Drosophila melanogaster: one gene and its partner. The protein of the gene in region 1 interacts with the protein of each later gene in a biochemical or structural test. Each region holds a gene or a part of one and is shown in the gene's direction. Other genes may lie near its edges.

Evidence for each region.
Region 2: the proteins of Sema1a (region 1) and otk form a complex in vitro, tested with the Drosophila melanogaster proteins (one study listed by BioGRID).

Annotation. Positions count from the first base shown.
Region 1 is NT_033779.5:8,538,473-8,546,557, forward strand, and holds the start of Sema1a (semaphorin 1a), read left to right. Parts: upstream 1-3,674; 5' UTR 3,675-3,740; intron 3,741-4,740; exon of another isoform or gene 4,741-5,243; intron 5,244-6,071; 5' UTR 6,072-6,761; intron 6,762-8,085. Other genes in the region: CG17834 (uncharacterized protein), read left to right, coding at 1,986-2,764. UniProt on the Drosophila melanogaster protein: Involved in growth cone guidance through its role in axonal repulsion. Function in neurons is essential for adult survival, motor neuron survival, and is important for climbing behavior and activity.
Region 2 is NT_033778.4:12,014,864-12,022,899, reverse strand, and holds the start of otk (off-track), read left to right. Parts: upstream 1-3,053; 5' UTR 3,054-3,970; coding exon 3,971-4,022; intron 4,023-7,004; exon of another isoform or gene 7,005-7,805; intron 7,806-8,036. UniProt on the Drosophila melanogaster protein: Acts as a calcium-dependent, homophilic cell adhesion molecule that regulates neural recognition during the development of the nervous system. Component of the repulsive Plexin signaling response to regulate motor axon guidance at the embryonic stage.

The DNA of each region.
Region 1 (8,085 bases):
AGTTCGAACCTCCAAACGAGGAAGAGCGGAAAAGAACAAATCTGGATCCGAGTCCAAATTTAATTAACAATTTTATTTCTCAATGACGCAGACAGCACCTTAAGGTACTGGTTTCATCTGGAGTTATATATAAAAAAAAGAAACATATTTTGCGGCACGTCACACATTTGTTATCACAATTGGAAGCAGAGATAAAACCATTGGCAATTGGAGATGATTTAATGGGCTATTAGGCCTGCGCCACTGATTTATCGCAATATTCGCAAATGGTTAATCACAGCGACCGACTTATGCCACCAAGCCCATTCCATCAGCAAAACGAACCAAACGTAATTAGTCAAATATTCGATTTTCTTATCGAGACCATATAAAAGAGTGTTAACAGCAAATAAACACCCATGCAATATGAATATTTCTGCCCATTTATGTATTTTGTCAAAAATACACGTATAGGTAATTTTTTTTATAGATAAGAAACTCGAGCTGGTAATCAGTTTTTGCATGCTAACAATCGATTCCTCCTTAGCTGATAAAAATAAAGAAATCGTCAAATTTGTAGAACTTTAGAGCTGTCATTTCATTCTATAGAACACATTTAAAAACTCCAAGCAAAAATGATAACATATAGATATCATCTTCACTTGTTTTAGGTTAATTGAAAAATAATCAATACATCAGTATATCTATAGAAAATAAATTCCGTCTTCATATTATGCATGTTAAATATACAATTATATATTGATCTTTTCAATTAAAAATATTTAAACAGCAGGTGTTGTATGTATCGATATTTAACAAATCGCGTTTAATTGATTGTATGTTCGAATAATCTCAGGTTTCATTTCGAAATAAAACGAAACAATAACAGCGATCAGTAAACAATAAATAGCCCAGTTTCAGTTGTCAATTAAGTTTTATGCACGGTACTATTTTCATTTTTATTTATACTTGTAAATTATATTGTTATACATACGTGTGTATGAGATATCTTAATTACATTCACGTAGTCATCACGTTCTCTTGCTAATGTCGGATGACTTTTCCGATTCGCCAGTCAATGGCTCCTATACAGTTTATAGCTGTTTTGTTTTAAGTATTTCCACATCTACATCATATTATTTCGTCAGAACCCTATACCTTATACCTTATAAAGCTGACGTTTATTGTCGGGGGTCTTGACGATACTTAAATCATACGTCATATTGTATTGTTTAACACATTTTGCTTTCTCAAAACAAAATCTAAGTAGTTACCGATTAAGAATTATTAGGCAGTAAATTAAATGATTTCATAAGTATCTATACATATTTTTACATAACAGAATTAGTATAATCTTTAACTGCAGCTAAATTTTATCCTACTTTTAAGTTTCATTTCACAAATAAACTATCAAAGCGACTTTACTAAGTATGTACATATTTGAAAATGACTTGCCTTGAAAGCGCAATGTTGTTATCCAAATAAAGAAACAAAATTTTATTGCAATTATATACTAAAATATTGACTGAATCAGAATGAATACTATAAAAAATAATACTGATAAGGTACGACTCATTTGATGCTTAAATGCATCTTACCCAATTGCTTGGGTATTTGTTGTCAAATGAAATTAAATTTATAAATCTTAAGAGTACAGAAATATTAAGTCAAAAGAAGGCAAGACTAATAATCTATTAAATTTACTATAAAACTTAACTAGTAAGTTCCGCCTCTAAAATTTCCATTTTAGCCAAAGTCGAGGGCTAGTTATTATCTGCACATATCTTTCCTATCTGCCATGAACTCAACCGTTATCTTGTTTGCCAACCTTTTATGCGTCTTACAATGGCATCTACTTTTCCAACTCTTCCAAAGATAATATTGTCCTCTCTGGCAGCTGGCTAATTAGGGTACAATGAAATCAGGACAATATCTCTAAATAATATGGGTTTAGTTACTTGCAAATGCAGAACACTTTTTAAACGGAGTATATCTTCTTTTTGCAGGAGATGCCACTGATGCGAGAACAGGATCGACCGAGAAGCGAATCACCTTCACCCTGGCTCCCAGTTCGGCCGAATGCTCGCCGTCGGGTAGCCAAACGACACTTACTCCCAAAAAGTTCGAGGCCATTGCCGAGGAGGAGAAGGAGGACGACAAGGCCGATGAGGAGGAGGAGATCATGGAGGAGGTGGTGCTGCGACCTCGCCTCATCGACCGGCATCCTCATCTGCTGGCCAACCCCAGTGGACTGACGACCACGCCCAAACGGATCCTGCGATCCGCCAAGAGCGTTCCGCACATGAATGTCCGTTCGTCGGCCAGTGAGACGGATATATTCTCCATTAGCGGTACGATGACCGGAAGCAGTCAGATCAGCATGACGCCGGAGGTGCCATCGATATCGTTCAGTAATCTGCCTAAGAACTACGAGGACACGCCCACTATTGAGAAGTACCGGGTATCGCAGAGTCTCTATTCCATTCAAACGGCGAATGCTGCTCGGGCCACACAGGATGATTACTCCATGCCGCGCTACTTCCGTCGATCTGCCATGCTATTGACCCAGAGCTCTGAGGTGCTGCCCGGCGCCAGTTCACTGGCCTCCATGTCGCCATCGATGGCCTCGTCCTCTGCCTCGCCCGGGTCCTCCAAGGACGAACTGCGACGGCCAGAGAAGGAGAAGAGCAAACGACTCCAGATGCTGCGTGGCAATCTACCGCCCTTACTTATTCATTCCGTGTCCTTCAAACGAAATCGCGACGAGGGCAAGCAGGTTGACTAGTCGCACTGCAGATATACATATTTATTTGTTAATCACTTTGTCCATGTTTTTAATGTTTTAAATTTATTAGCCTTTAGTACCTGCTTATGCGTTTTCTGTATTATCTTCTAAGCAATGACCTTGTCCAAACAATTCCTCAGTATTCAGATGTACTTCATTTTGAATTAATGATTGATATTACAAAATAAATTGTATTTTACCACAAAAAACAGCGATTAAAGATCCTACTTAATAAATCTTTATAAAAATCTAAACGATATCTATTTGTACCATTTTAAAAGAAATAAATGCGAGCTTGAAAAAAAATGCACTTATCTCCCCGACGGGGAATTGAACCCCGGTCTCCCGCGTGACAGGCGGGGATACTAACCACTATACTATCGAGGATGTTATACAAAGTGAGTCAAACTCGGGTTTTCCGTTTGCGGAGTGTGAATGCTTGTTTCAATTTCATCTGTTCCCCATTTGTACTCTGAAGACAGTGTGCAAGCTCGAGACGGTTGTTTGACAGTGGGTAGACAACATCCTCGATAGTATAGTGGTTAGTATCCCCGCCTGTCACGCGGGAGACCGGGGTTCAATTCCCCGTCGGGGAGAGATGTAAAAATTACTTTTTGTTGATTGTTTTAATTTATTAATTTAATTTTTTAATTTTTTAATTTCAAAATTTAAGTAATGCAATACATGTTTCAGACCAACAAATTAAAATAAAAAATTGCACCATATAGCTTAAAAAAACGTCAAACATGTATATTTAATTAGGTCATCCTGGAAGTGATATATAATGAAACACATTTCAACGGGTATATAAGTTTTGTTAAGGGGTAACTGTAAGCCGGACCCATTTAGCTTACCACCCAATATGGTAGCACTGGCTGTAGAAATTCCCAATGGCAACGCTAGTCGACCAGTTTTCATTCGTATTGGCGTGTGTGTTGTTTGTACAACAAAACATTCTAGTTGTTTTATTTGCAAGGTGCTCATATAAAAACATAAACAATATATTTCGTAGAGTGCCCTAATAATTTATTAAGTTGTGAATTAAACAAATATGAATAAGAAGCGTGTCCAAGTGAATTGGTTAAATTGTAAATTATAAATAAAGCAATACATATAAACGGCCGGCAAAACAGAGAGCGCGTTTTAAGAGAGAACCTAATAGGAAAAGAGTGTAGAGCTGCCAGGTTTCAATTAGGTACCAGGTACCAAACGTATTTATTATTCGAGAAGAACTATTTTTGGTGACTAAATATGGTTTCTGATTATAGAAGTGTTCTCCTAATATATAATTTTTAAAAATTTTTTTCTACACGTGCCCTCAGATTGTTGATATTCAAAATTCGTACACAAACGCCCTTGACAGGCGCAGTCTCACCCGCGCCCACTGAGAGCGGAACGACGGAAATTTCAAACATTATTTCTATTTTCTATTTGAATTGAAACTATGTATTTTCCATAATTTTCAAAATATTCTTGATTTTTTTTGAATAACTAAATTAATTATTTTAAGTATCGCGAGGGAGAATAAGAGTTTAAAGCGGCCGATTATATTGAGGGGGAGTTTCAGTCAACGAAAAGGAAATAGTGAGAGGAGAGGGCTTATTGAAGAGAGCCTCTCATTTTAAAATTTCTCTTTAAGCGTGTTCCTTCTAAAGGACACAAGAAACTAATATGTTTATGAAATAAGAAACTTAACCGTGTATGTGTTTTCCAATTTTGCGTGAACAAATAAAAGAGCTCAAGCATTTTATCGTTTGAGTAATTTTAGATAAAAATTTATTAATATTTTTTAATGTTTTCAATTTGCCATAGACAACATTTTTTCCAATAAAATTCGGTAATATAAATAACATGGTGTTATGGCCTGCAATTTTTATATAAATTTTTAGTAGCACGCTCTTAGTTTAATATTTAGGTCAATAAAATAATTATCCTTATTGTTTTTTTTTTTAATTTGCATATTGTTTGTTGACCAGCTGTTAAGAGAAGAGAGGAGAGAGAAAAAGAGAACCGAAAAAGTGACCGTTCGCGACTTCGCAGTCAGCGCTGGAAAACGCACTAACGCGCGGAAAATGCCCTAGCGCCAGAGAAAGTGCCATTTGAGACTGAACTCTCTTTCGTGCGAGTTCCCTTTTCATTCGAAAATTTAACGCCCGCGCTGCTGCAGCGCGTTGTTGCTCCGGTTGGAAAATATCTGAAAACAGCATTAATAAATAAACAAAAATATTGGATAAATCGCCGGTAGAAACGCTGCATAAAACGAAATTTGGTTTCTTGTAAAATATTATTTTTCAAGATATTTTCTTGTTAATTTCCGGATATTCGACAAGGATATAAATGTTTCTTTCGCGTTGATAAACAAATTCCAGCACCGCTACCTTTGTGTCGCGCAATTGTGAAAAGTGATTTGTCCATTGTGTACATTAATTAATAAATTGGTAATTGCTCAATTTAGAAACATGTGCAATCGAGAGCTAGTGTGAGTGTTTGTGTGCAACAATAATAAAGCCGAAAATTGCCCAATTGCAATTGGCAATCACAACAAAATTGGAATATTATGGCACATTAGAAAAAGAAAATAACGAAAACTGTGTTTCCACCCAAAGTTTAGGCCGCAGCAGAGCGAATCCACAAAAATATACAATTTCGGCAATTTTTCCACATATTTTTCATTGATTTTTCGCCATCCTGCGGGTGTGAGCAAGAGGGCGAGAGAGTTGAAAGGAGAGCCAGGCTTTTGTATTCTGTTTTGGGTACGTTTTGGGAATGAAACGGTCCTGGCTCTCGCTAACCCACCCTCCCTCTCTCTTTGGGATTATCCTTTTTATATTTTGTTTATTTCTCTATTTTCCTGGCCACGTTTTGTGCACCATTCGTTTCGCTGCATTTCATTCTCGCGGCGTTTCAAATTGACTCAGAGAGAGTGAGAGTAAGAGTGGGAGAGAGCAGCACTCTCTTATTCTTCTTCCTCAAACTCACGCACCCCCCGCATAATGTTTTTCGACTCTGCCTTGTGCCCCCCATTCGCATCTCTCCGCAGCGCGTTGCCAACCAAAAAAAGAAAACTAAAGTACTGTTGTCATAATAAGAAATTTATCAGGAAAAAAGTTGAATTACAAAGTGTTTCAATTGATATTTCTTGATCATTTCTTCATCAAATCGTGTTTCATATCGTAGCAAATATTAATTTTAATTCAAAAAGCCCTACATGCCAGATATTTGTGTTCAAGATAAGCTCTTCCTGCGGCCATAACTTTTGATTGGGAAACTGAAATCTAATCCAGTTTTCCTTCTCCCATTTCCACAGTATTTAAGCCAGAAACAAAGTGAATAAGGCAAATTTGAATAAAGAAAAAGAATAAACCAAGAAAATATGCTCAGAAATCGCATCCGTAGCCTACTTATCGCATGAAGAACCGGTACCGTTAAGGGATAATCGCCGTCGCGTTAATTCGACTCCTGCACCGCACCGCCCCGCCCCCCCGTTCGTCGTTTCGTCTATTCATATATCCGATATAACCGTTATCGCGCCCGTGCATCTGCGTCTGCATCTGTGTGCGTGAGTCCTTGTATCCTCTGTACATATGTACAATATTTGTCGTCGTCGTCGTCGTGCATCGTTGTTGTTGTTCTTGCTGTTATCCTATTATTCATCGTCGTCCGCTGGCATTAATCTGCGTATAAAGTAAATATAACAAATTTGTGTTCTTCGGTGTTGTCTCGTGTAAGTGTCTATAATTTGTTTAAGTACGACAAGCGATCGGTGCGAATCAAAAAATTCCAATTCACCAGTCTGTGTGTGCGAATCGATAATCGAGCTATCAGAACAACCACAACAACAACAACAGCCCAATCAATCGATCAATGTCAGCAAACAAACGATAAACAGGACTCGCTGGGACTAATCAATTGCGTAATCTTCAGAATATTTTGGATTCCAACGTCTACGGAGTTTCAACTTTTGAACAATTCATTTTGCTGGACAGTTTTTGGAAAGGTACGTTTAGAAATAAATATCTTATTAAATATAGTAAGAGCAATCCAAGTGTCGCATTTTTATAAACATAGTCATTTGGATTAAGATTAATCGCAGGAAATGGTGGAGTTAATTTTCTGGAAAATCAGAACGTATTTTATGCCAGATACATTGGGATGTTCGAAAATGCATTAACACTGGGTCTTGTTGCCTTCAGCTCCCAAAATTGTTGTTTTTTTTCAAGGGTTAAGTGGATGCACATCGGTCGTGCCGGGAAATATCTATATTTAGCGCACGTATTGTCCTTTGGCCACGTTCTAGGATAAGGAAGGACATACCTTGGTAGGGTCAGCAAAAGTCGTTCTCGATATTTGCGTACGCCACACACACGACTGCTTGAGTGCGAAGGGTGTGGGCATTGGACGAGACTCATTAGGACAAACCGAAAATGGTTGAAATGCACTTTTGCAGACAGATACGGAATATACCCTCGGACACACAGCAGGAGATATCGGAGCTCAGACAGAGATACAAAACGGAGCGATTTCCATTTGAAATGTAAACAAAGCACGCTGATACCCCGGCACAGTGGAGCAGATGATTGGACGGTCGGGAAAACAAAGGCGAACCAAACACTTAAGATACGGCTACAGTGGGAACCACAGAAAAGGGACACCGACAACAAGTGATTTGGAAATGTTGATAAAAATGTGGTAGCTATTAAGTAAAAACATAAAGATGCCAGTTTGAACAATTTCTTTGCCAAGTTCTTAGGTTGCATTTGAATAACTAAAACTTTATTTATTTTAATACCCAAAAGAGGGGTTTTTAAATTGGTTATCAGATCTTTTTATTTGTTTTGATAAATTTAAACTGGTACACTTCATATGAAGTATTTTTTATGTGCTCAATCCCTTAAGCGCCTACTCATTGACACGCAAGCTGAAAAAATTGAATATTCCACTCGGGAATCTGATTTAGTTCTGCTTCACCCGCATTTATGTCTGCATTACTTAACCGATTTCACAGCTGTAATCTGTTTCTTTTCCTATCTGTGATTGCCTCTTTTTTACTCTCGTTTTGTGATACATTTTCGATTCGAGAAATGGTCTTCGTCATCGCTTTTGATAGCTTTAATCTTTTAATCGCTTGCATATTTAGGAATTTAACAGAGAGCCATCTACGTTAATCCGCTGAGATTAGCCTAATGGGATGTTGTATTTCCCCTGAATCTTTCATTTTTGTAAATGGTCATTTCTTGAAATGTTATTCCAAGTTCTTATGGTAATTTGATTCCCCCTCTCATGGTAAACGACATAAATGTATCTGATAAGAATTGAAATAC
Region 2 (8,036 bases), on another chromosome or scaffold:
TTTCTTCTTTCGTTTAATTAAAACAATGAAAGTTTCTTCATAGCAATTATAGTTTATCAACATGTTGAATAGTATATCTTATATTTGTGATAGGAAAAAGGTATCCTTCCAATGCCAAATTACTTAACAATTTGTTTTGGATTCTTTGACTAGCTTGCACCATGATATGCCATCCTTTGAGGCAGTGTCACCCATACCCATCATCTTGTAGGGAATTTCCATCTAAAGCATATCCAGCGACAATTTCCCTTCAATTGCCGGCATCTGCACTTAATCGCTTCATTTCCATGTCCATTTCCATTGGCATATGCTGGCAATCTCCAATTGCCAGTGTGCTTTATGCATATTTTATGGCTTTTTATAGCGCTCGAATAAACAGCGCACACCACACATCAAAGGCGTTATCCAAAGGCAACTACACATGCGCAGGTTACTCCGCCACCAGGCAGCAGATAAAAAAGTAAGCGGCAAGTGCAATTAAACGACTGCGACTACGACCACCCCTGCCTGCATTTCCACCAGCCGCCCATCAAATGGATTGGTATGGTGTGGTATGGTATGGTATGGCATGGTATGGTATCCTATGCAGCACCCCAACCTCTCTATATGTATGTACCATGCACCTACATATGTACATATGTATGTATAGGCGATTTGCCTTTGATCTGCGGCGGCGACGACGACATCGACATGCATTAAAAACTTGTTGTTGGGGGCCCTTCCGCTGATGTTTTTCCTCTTCTTCGATTTCCCCCTTTTTTTTCTATTTCTTTTTTTTTGGTACTTTTTCGCCTTATTTGTTTATAGTAAGTGCGCACGGGGCGGGCCTCAGCCCAAAAACACCTTCAAACGCTGTGTACTACAATATATGTACGTATGTTTATTTTGTTTAGTCTACGCAAAGGCCGCGTTACTAAAATTTATTTTAATGCCTTCTAATGTTTGATGTTTGCTATGGGCGGCATTCCGATTTGGATTCTAGCCGGAATCCGTTGCAACTTTTGGGATGCTCCATAAAATTATACGATTGCGAGGCGTTGAGTTACGGTAAGCAGTTCGAAATAATAACTTAAACATATATGGATGGCGGTATAGTCGAAAGACCCTAAAAGATGAAAAGATTTCTTTCTAGTTTGGCCAGGAATAAGTTGCAACGTTTAAAACTTTCCAAGAACAGAGCAATCAAATTTGTAACGATCTTCTAAGGATATACTTAAGACTTCCGACAAAGAGTGCGATTTCGAAAATAAAATTTTTCAAATTGAAACTTTTTGTATGTATGTATTTATCTACTGATTTAGCAAAGAGGGTCTCATATTTTTGAAATAAATGAAGTTGTGGCATCGTGCGACTTATCCAATTAACATATTACCCCTTGGCAACCCCTTTGCAATATGAAAAGTTAATACAATATTATTAACACACCATTTGCAGCTTCGGTTCGCCCGATCGCTTTGCACCCCAAAATCAAGGGAGGCGAAGGCGAAAAGGAACCAAATTCAAAACAAGGCCTATAATAAAACATAAGCCCTACATTCCAGCCAGGCGATGGCATAAATCTCCAACTTTATGACATCAATAACTGTCGTTCGTCCGAAGAGTCAGCGCGAGCACTGGGAAATGGGAGGTGGAAAAGCGCACTGGAGGCCCAACTTTGGATGGTCGGTCCCTTCGCCCTTCTGGGCATCGCCATGGCCAGCCTTTGATAACCGCACACACGCATTTCCACGCAGATATAATCACAAAGGGCCCGGACTGTTAATCAGGGGCGGGGTTTGGGACTTTTGGGGGAAGGAGGAAATGGGGTGGGCACCACCCCTCTCGGTTATATAGTTTATACAAATGGCAACGGCAGTTTACGACTCTTGGGTGTCAGTCAACGCCGGCTAAAGGATCAGCTGCAATTGTTTTTGTGGCTCTTCGCTTGGTTTTCCATTGTGCGGGGTTGAAAGGCCTCGTAAAAAAATCAAGCGGAAAACTATAAAATGGAAATCCACACACACACTCACGCAGGCCCGTTCTCATAATCGCACAGTAGCAGCCAAGGACTGTCTTAGATGCACAGCAATAGGTTTGATCTATTAGAATTTGTTTAAAAAGTTTAGAAACTATAATTTTATACCAATCAACCATTTTACCTATCCAACAATTTCATAGAAAACTTCTACAGTTTTATAAACATTATATGATTAAGAGCCGAACCTTTCAATCAAAAGATTCAATTGGATTTAAATTTATATGTCATTGTTTTTAAATTGGTTTTGCTGTATTATCAAAATTTTCCTTCGTTGCTCTTAGATAACATTTTCTCTCATAGAACATTTTAAAATTTTCTTTATTTCTTCGAGTGTGGAAAATTGGTAGTGGAAGTATCTTGCAGTTTCGTCGTATATCTGCTCGTAAAAGCAGCAAGCCACCAATGGATTTCCTCCCACTGCCGACCGGCCACCCCATTTTAGCTGATTCTTGCTTTGGTCATTAAGACGCATTATTGTTTGGACTCAAAAAAAAAAAAACAGGGGGAAACGGTTGGATGATGAGACAGCGGGCGGTTTGCATAGTGACTCTCTGATCTGATTGCAGACAACTGATAGCTTTATTTCATCAAATGAAATTAGGAAGAGTGTCGGGTTCAGCTAGGGGGAATAATCGCAAATTAAATACTCATGTTTGATATAAACTCATAAAACAATTCTTAGTTTTTTAATCACAATAAACCATTTTTACCACATCTCACGATGATCATCTTAAGTTGGTTGCTCTTTATAAATATTATATATTTATATATATTATATAAATTAATTTTAGGTTTTGGTGTATTTTAAATTAAATGAAACTTGTGAGTTAAGTCTTTAAAATTCCACTTCAAACTTGCCGCGCCACAAACGACTGCTGCAGCTCGGCAGCACTGGCAGAAATACAGGGCATGCAAGAAATACTGGTCACGAGTAGGTATATTCCACCGGAGAGAGCGCTAACTGAACCCAGTATTTTCCGCTGAGAGAGCAGCAAAAGCCGGTTCCCACCAACAACTTCGAACAGCCGGCGGAGTTCAGTAATAAACAGACTTCGAACGCGTGCAGTTCAGATTGAGTTTGAGGTTCGATTGGATTCGAGATATCCAAGTTCCTTTTGCGCTACGTTTTGTTTAGCCGAGTTTGCCCCGAACTAAAATCACCCACCAAAGCCGGTTCGGGATGCGATGATGCCAAGGATGCAGCTGATGCAGCCGGGCTCTTGTATCTTTAAGATACAAATTAAGTTGATTTGTTGCGCTCGCGTTCTCTTGGGTAATTGAACCCCACAGTTGGGCTCCTTGCGCCCTCTGCCGCGCGGTCTTCGGTCTTCGGTCTTCGAGCATTTCGTTGCATTTTGTGTATCTAGATACCTTTGTCGGTATCCGTATCCGTCGCTTGTCAATCTGGTCGCTGATAAAAAAGCAAACGCGAACGCAGCCACGAAACATAAACCAGCCGTCAACGGAAAATAAAAGTAAAAAGCAACAAACAGCAAGTGGCGTATCAGTTCGTGTGTTCTCGGTGATAAATGCATTTCATGCGTTCCAACTATGTAAATAGCAATTTAATTTGAGTGTCCACAGTAAACATCAAAAAACCGCCCTGGACTCCAGTCACCACCACCAACAACACCATCCCCGGTGGAGCCCAGTGATCCCATTGAAACCCCGGTAAACCCCTGAAAAGGGCAGTCGTTGTCATCGTCGTCATCGTCGTCGTCGTCGTACGTCTGTGCCATCCAAATATTGAATATTTACAAATGCGTTGAGTGCATTTTCGAGTGGCCGGCACTTACAGTGACTATCTGGTGGATGTGCGAGTGTATTCATCGGATTGCCAGCAGCATAAAACTTCGTTTTCGATACTGATCCAATACGCGAGTGCTTATATATTTTTTGTGTCGCTAATTGAGACCAAAGGTGTCGAAGTGCGGCGGTTATACATATACGCAGATGACTGCTAGGATGATCTCAATATGCGGCCTGGTCATGGCTTTGATGATGGGTAAGTGGTCTGCTACGATTGGATTTTGTGGACTAAGTGAGGGATTGCCTTATTCTCGGGGGGTTCTTTGCAATCAAATTCATTTCATTTGCTTAAGGGGGTTCTCAATTCCCATTTATTTGCTTATTTCGATGTCGGCATTTGGCGATTGCCTTTGCAACTGAATCGCTGGGAACTTCAAAGGAATCACAACATTTGTGTTGCGCAGAATATTGGCCATTCCATCTTGGGTGAGACCACCCATAATATGGACTCTATTAACCTCGAGGGCTCTGCCGTCCACACAGAACTACTCCTATTTCCTTATTCTCCAAGGGCGATTTTGTTTTGCGAAGAAAAACCGAAAACCCAGAGAGCCTTTGTCTCTGGCTATTCAATTTGAAAGGCAAGCGGCGTGCAAAATGACTCAATTAAAAGTCAGCCAGGAGCCACCAAGCTGGCATTACTAATTTGGAATAGGAGAAGGAAAGCAGCGGGAGAGGAAGCCGTTTGGAAAATTATGAGTCTCAGGTCTCAGTTCAAAATGAAGTCATTTTGGGCAAACATCAACATCGAAAATGTGACGAGCTCACTAACACAGGCAACAATTGAGGTCCTTGTGGCCAGGTTATCCTTTTCAATGACAGATGTTGCTCATTAAATACTTTTCTTTAGATAAAGTAGTTAATTTATAGGCAGATCAGCTAAAATACTCGCTCGGAATAAGAAAATATTGTTATAAAACTAATAAATATTTCATTTCTATACCTTTTAGATCCGTTCTGTTTTAATAGATTCACTAATTAGAAACACTATATAGGCATGTTTCCGAATGTTTTTTCCCAGTGCTAGCACACACACACACTTGAAATATAAGGACCATCCTGCCAAGGATCACGATACCCACTTGAAGTGAGACAAGCGACGCCGAAATTTCGGCTAATCAAATATAGTTTACAGCGGGGATTACGAGTGGGATAAGGATCGTGCCCGAAGGAGGGGGATCTCGGGTCTCAAGAGGGACACGATTATGCAAACGAAGGTCCTTAACAACGCATGTGTGTGCGTGCGTTCGAGTGTGTGTGTGTGAGACAGGACAGAGCTGAAAACTGCTGACTGTTAAGTAGCACAAAGGCAAACAGCCGCTAACAAAAGCCAGCCGGCAGACAGCGAGGATAGGGGGATTTGGATTCGCATATTTCAAAATCTGTGCAACGCTACTACAGAGGTCCATTATTTGTATGGCAAATAATGTGGCTGTCAGTGTGTGTGTGTGTGTGTGTGCTTGTTTGTGTGAGTTCCTTTTGTGTGGCAGTCATAATTTGTTATTCAAGCATGCAAAATGCTGCATGCAACATGCCAGGCCAAAAGCAAAAGCATCGTACATCCCACATTAAGGGCAGCTGTGGCAACTACAAAACTCCCCTTCACCAACCTTTGCCACTGCCACTGCCACACCCCCCGCCCCTGGTCCTTCCGCCTGTCTGCATCCTTCGGCAACCTTAAAGACTGCCAGTCGAAAGTTCTCCAGAGGGTTCTCTCTCGAAAATTGTATGAACTAGTCATGCATTTGCTTAGAAAGCCGGGGTATAAAGGGAATTTCAGGATTTAATGCTGCCTTATAATGAATCCAATTTATTAGGCTGTGTTCTATGAACAACTGGTCTCCGTTTGAAATACTTTGAATTGAATACAGCATCCTTGAGGTTTTCTACTACACTGGATTGGCTGGATAAGGGTATTTTACCTATATGTAATAGACATAAAACCATAATTTTGTAAGCTAGTTATTTCCTACAAAGTAGCGTTCAAAGAAATCATATCCAAAATGGTATTTATTTTACACATAAGAAGTAAGAGACTACATAATAACTTTTCATAAATAATGCTTGGCAGGCAGTACGATTCCCATTTTCATGTTGTTAAATCAATTTTGTTTGAAACACAAAGGAAATGATCCCGAGAAGCTCGATTGTAGTTGAAGGGAAAATCCCTGAATAAAGCCCTGATGACTGTTTATTAGCCATGCTGTAACCTTTAAATTGAATTCCAACTCTATCAAAGACCATCCAGTCCTTTTTCTGGCCATTTTTACCCCTGAAAAAACCCTAGATCAAACGTTTGACGCGTAATTGTCAGACACAATTCCACTTTTCATTCAGTGCCTGTCTGTCTGTTGACTTGCAGTTTTCCAGCACCGCTTTTCCCAGACAAATGCCTCGCATTCCACAGTGACAGTTCAGTTCTAGCCCCCCATTCCCCATTCCCATTGCCACCCCCCGCACACAGACACACGCACACAAAATCAAATCAAAACGCCACCCATGGGGCAAGTTCAAGTGGCTGCCACAGTGGGTTGCCTGATTATTACTACAATATTTCGCATTCATTGTGCTTAATCGACGAATGTTGCCGCACCATTTGTGGCAGTCGAAGTTGGATCTGTATCCGCATCTGCATCAGAATCTGAATCTGAATCTCAAAGATGCTGATGAGCATGAGGCCACAGCAGTGGGCACTCGTAATACTGCCTGCTGCTGACTTGCTGATTTCGGTTATTCGAGCCAAACAAACGAACTAATTATCACACACGCACACACACCCGCGACGAGGGTAAGTGGAAGAATGGAACGATGCACTGAGAAAGATTTCTTTGGGTTTAAAAAAAGAATCTTTAGAGTTCCAAGTACACACCTTAAAGTATATAAATCACAAACGTATTACTTGTGAAACGGTTGTTATAGAGAAGATTGTTATACCTATAATGTCAAAAGATAAAAAAAGATAAAAACATCTACCAATTCCTATCATAAACTCTGTCATATCTCATTACATGCTCATAATTTGCGAAACTGCTTACCAAAAGTTATAAATAAACATTACTTAGTTTAATAAATCAATTGAAAGACACAGTGTTGAAAATTCGTTTGTATTGTTTTTAAATTTAGAAAATCAAAAATTCCCACTTGGCTACCCTTCTTTTTCGCCAGTGTATGTCCACAGACAGATCGAGATGGGCAGTTGGAACCGGGACTGCCCGCTGCTCCGTGGCTCTGTCGCTGATGTTTGCAGCATCAACACTTTTTCAGTTTGCTGCTCGGCTTCTGCGGCATCAGTGCTCCTCCACAGAGCTCCACCTCCTGCCCCACTCCTCGTCGCTTTCCGCACCCTCTCACGCATTTTTGTGCCCACATCAGCGCAATCAACGGACTGCGGAGCGGGACGCATATTTCTTTAATCGACGCCCAGTAACTGACATTGTTCCCTCGTCTCGTATCGAATCGACTCAACTCGACTCGACTTGACTGGAACTCGAACTCGTTTTCCGCACGGCAAATTAAATCGATTCAGGGGAGGATCGAGTCGAGCAGGGCAGGGAGTTAAGCCCAGCCAAGAGGAGGAGGTGGAGGGCATCCCGGTGCCTGCCCAACTGCCTTTTCGGTTGGGCCGTGTATCATAACACGTCTGTCGGCGATGTGACTGGCATATGAATCGCATGGAGTTCCTCCTTCGAACGTCGAAAGGCCAGTAATGATGTTGTGGCTGTTGTTGTTGGCCCGCTTATTGATTCCTCGGTGCGGTCGTGCTCTTGGCCAAAAAGGAACTGCGCCCGGGACCCACAATCTGAGGTGTTGTCTCAAATTGCTCCAATTAGTGGCCAAATATAATGGTTGCCGTTTTGTAGTTCTTGTTCATGTTCCTTGCTCCTGCTACCCAAGTCGTATAATCAAAAGTAATTGCGTTTGAATTGCTTTTCGTTTCGAGTTGCGGTTGGGAGTTATGTATCTTCTGGCCATATCTACTCACTTGACTTTGTAGCCTCGAATGGCGCCACTTGTGGTCTGGATTTAAACAGCTTCGATATGAAAAGGTTCTTCGCTCATTTGGTAATCGCCATTGAAATGCATTCATATGGGCCACACCTGACCAGTGAATTGCATTTTAAATGCAGCAAATTGCATTTGCGGCTGTTGATTTAATATAACAACCGATTTGCATTCACAAATAAATGAGAAACACACAAATTAAATGTAT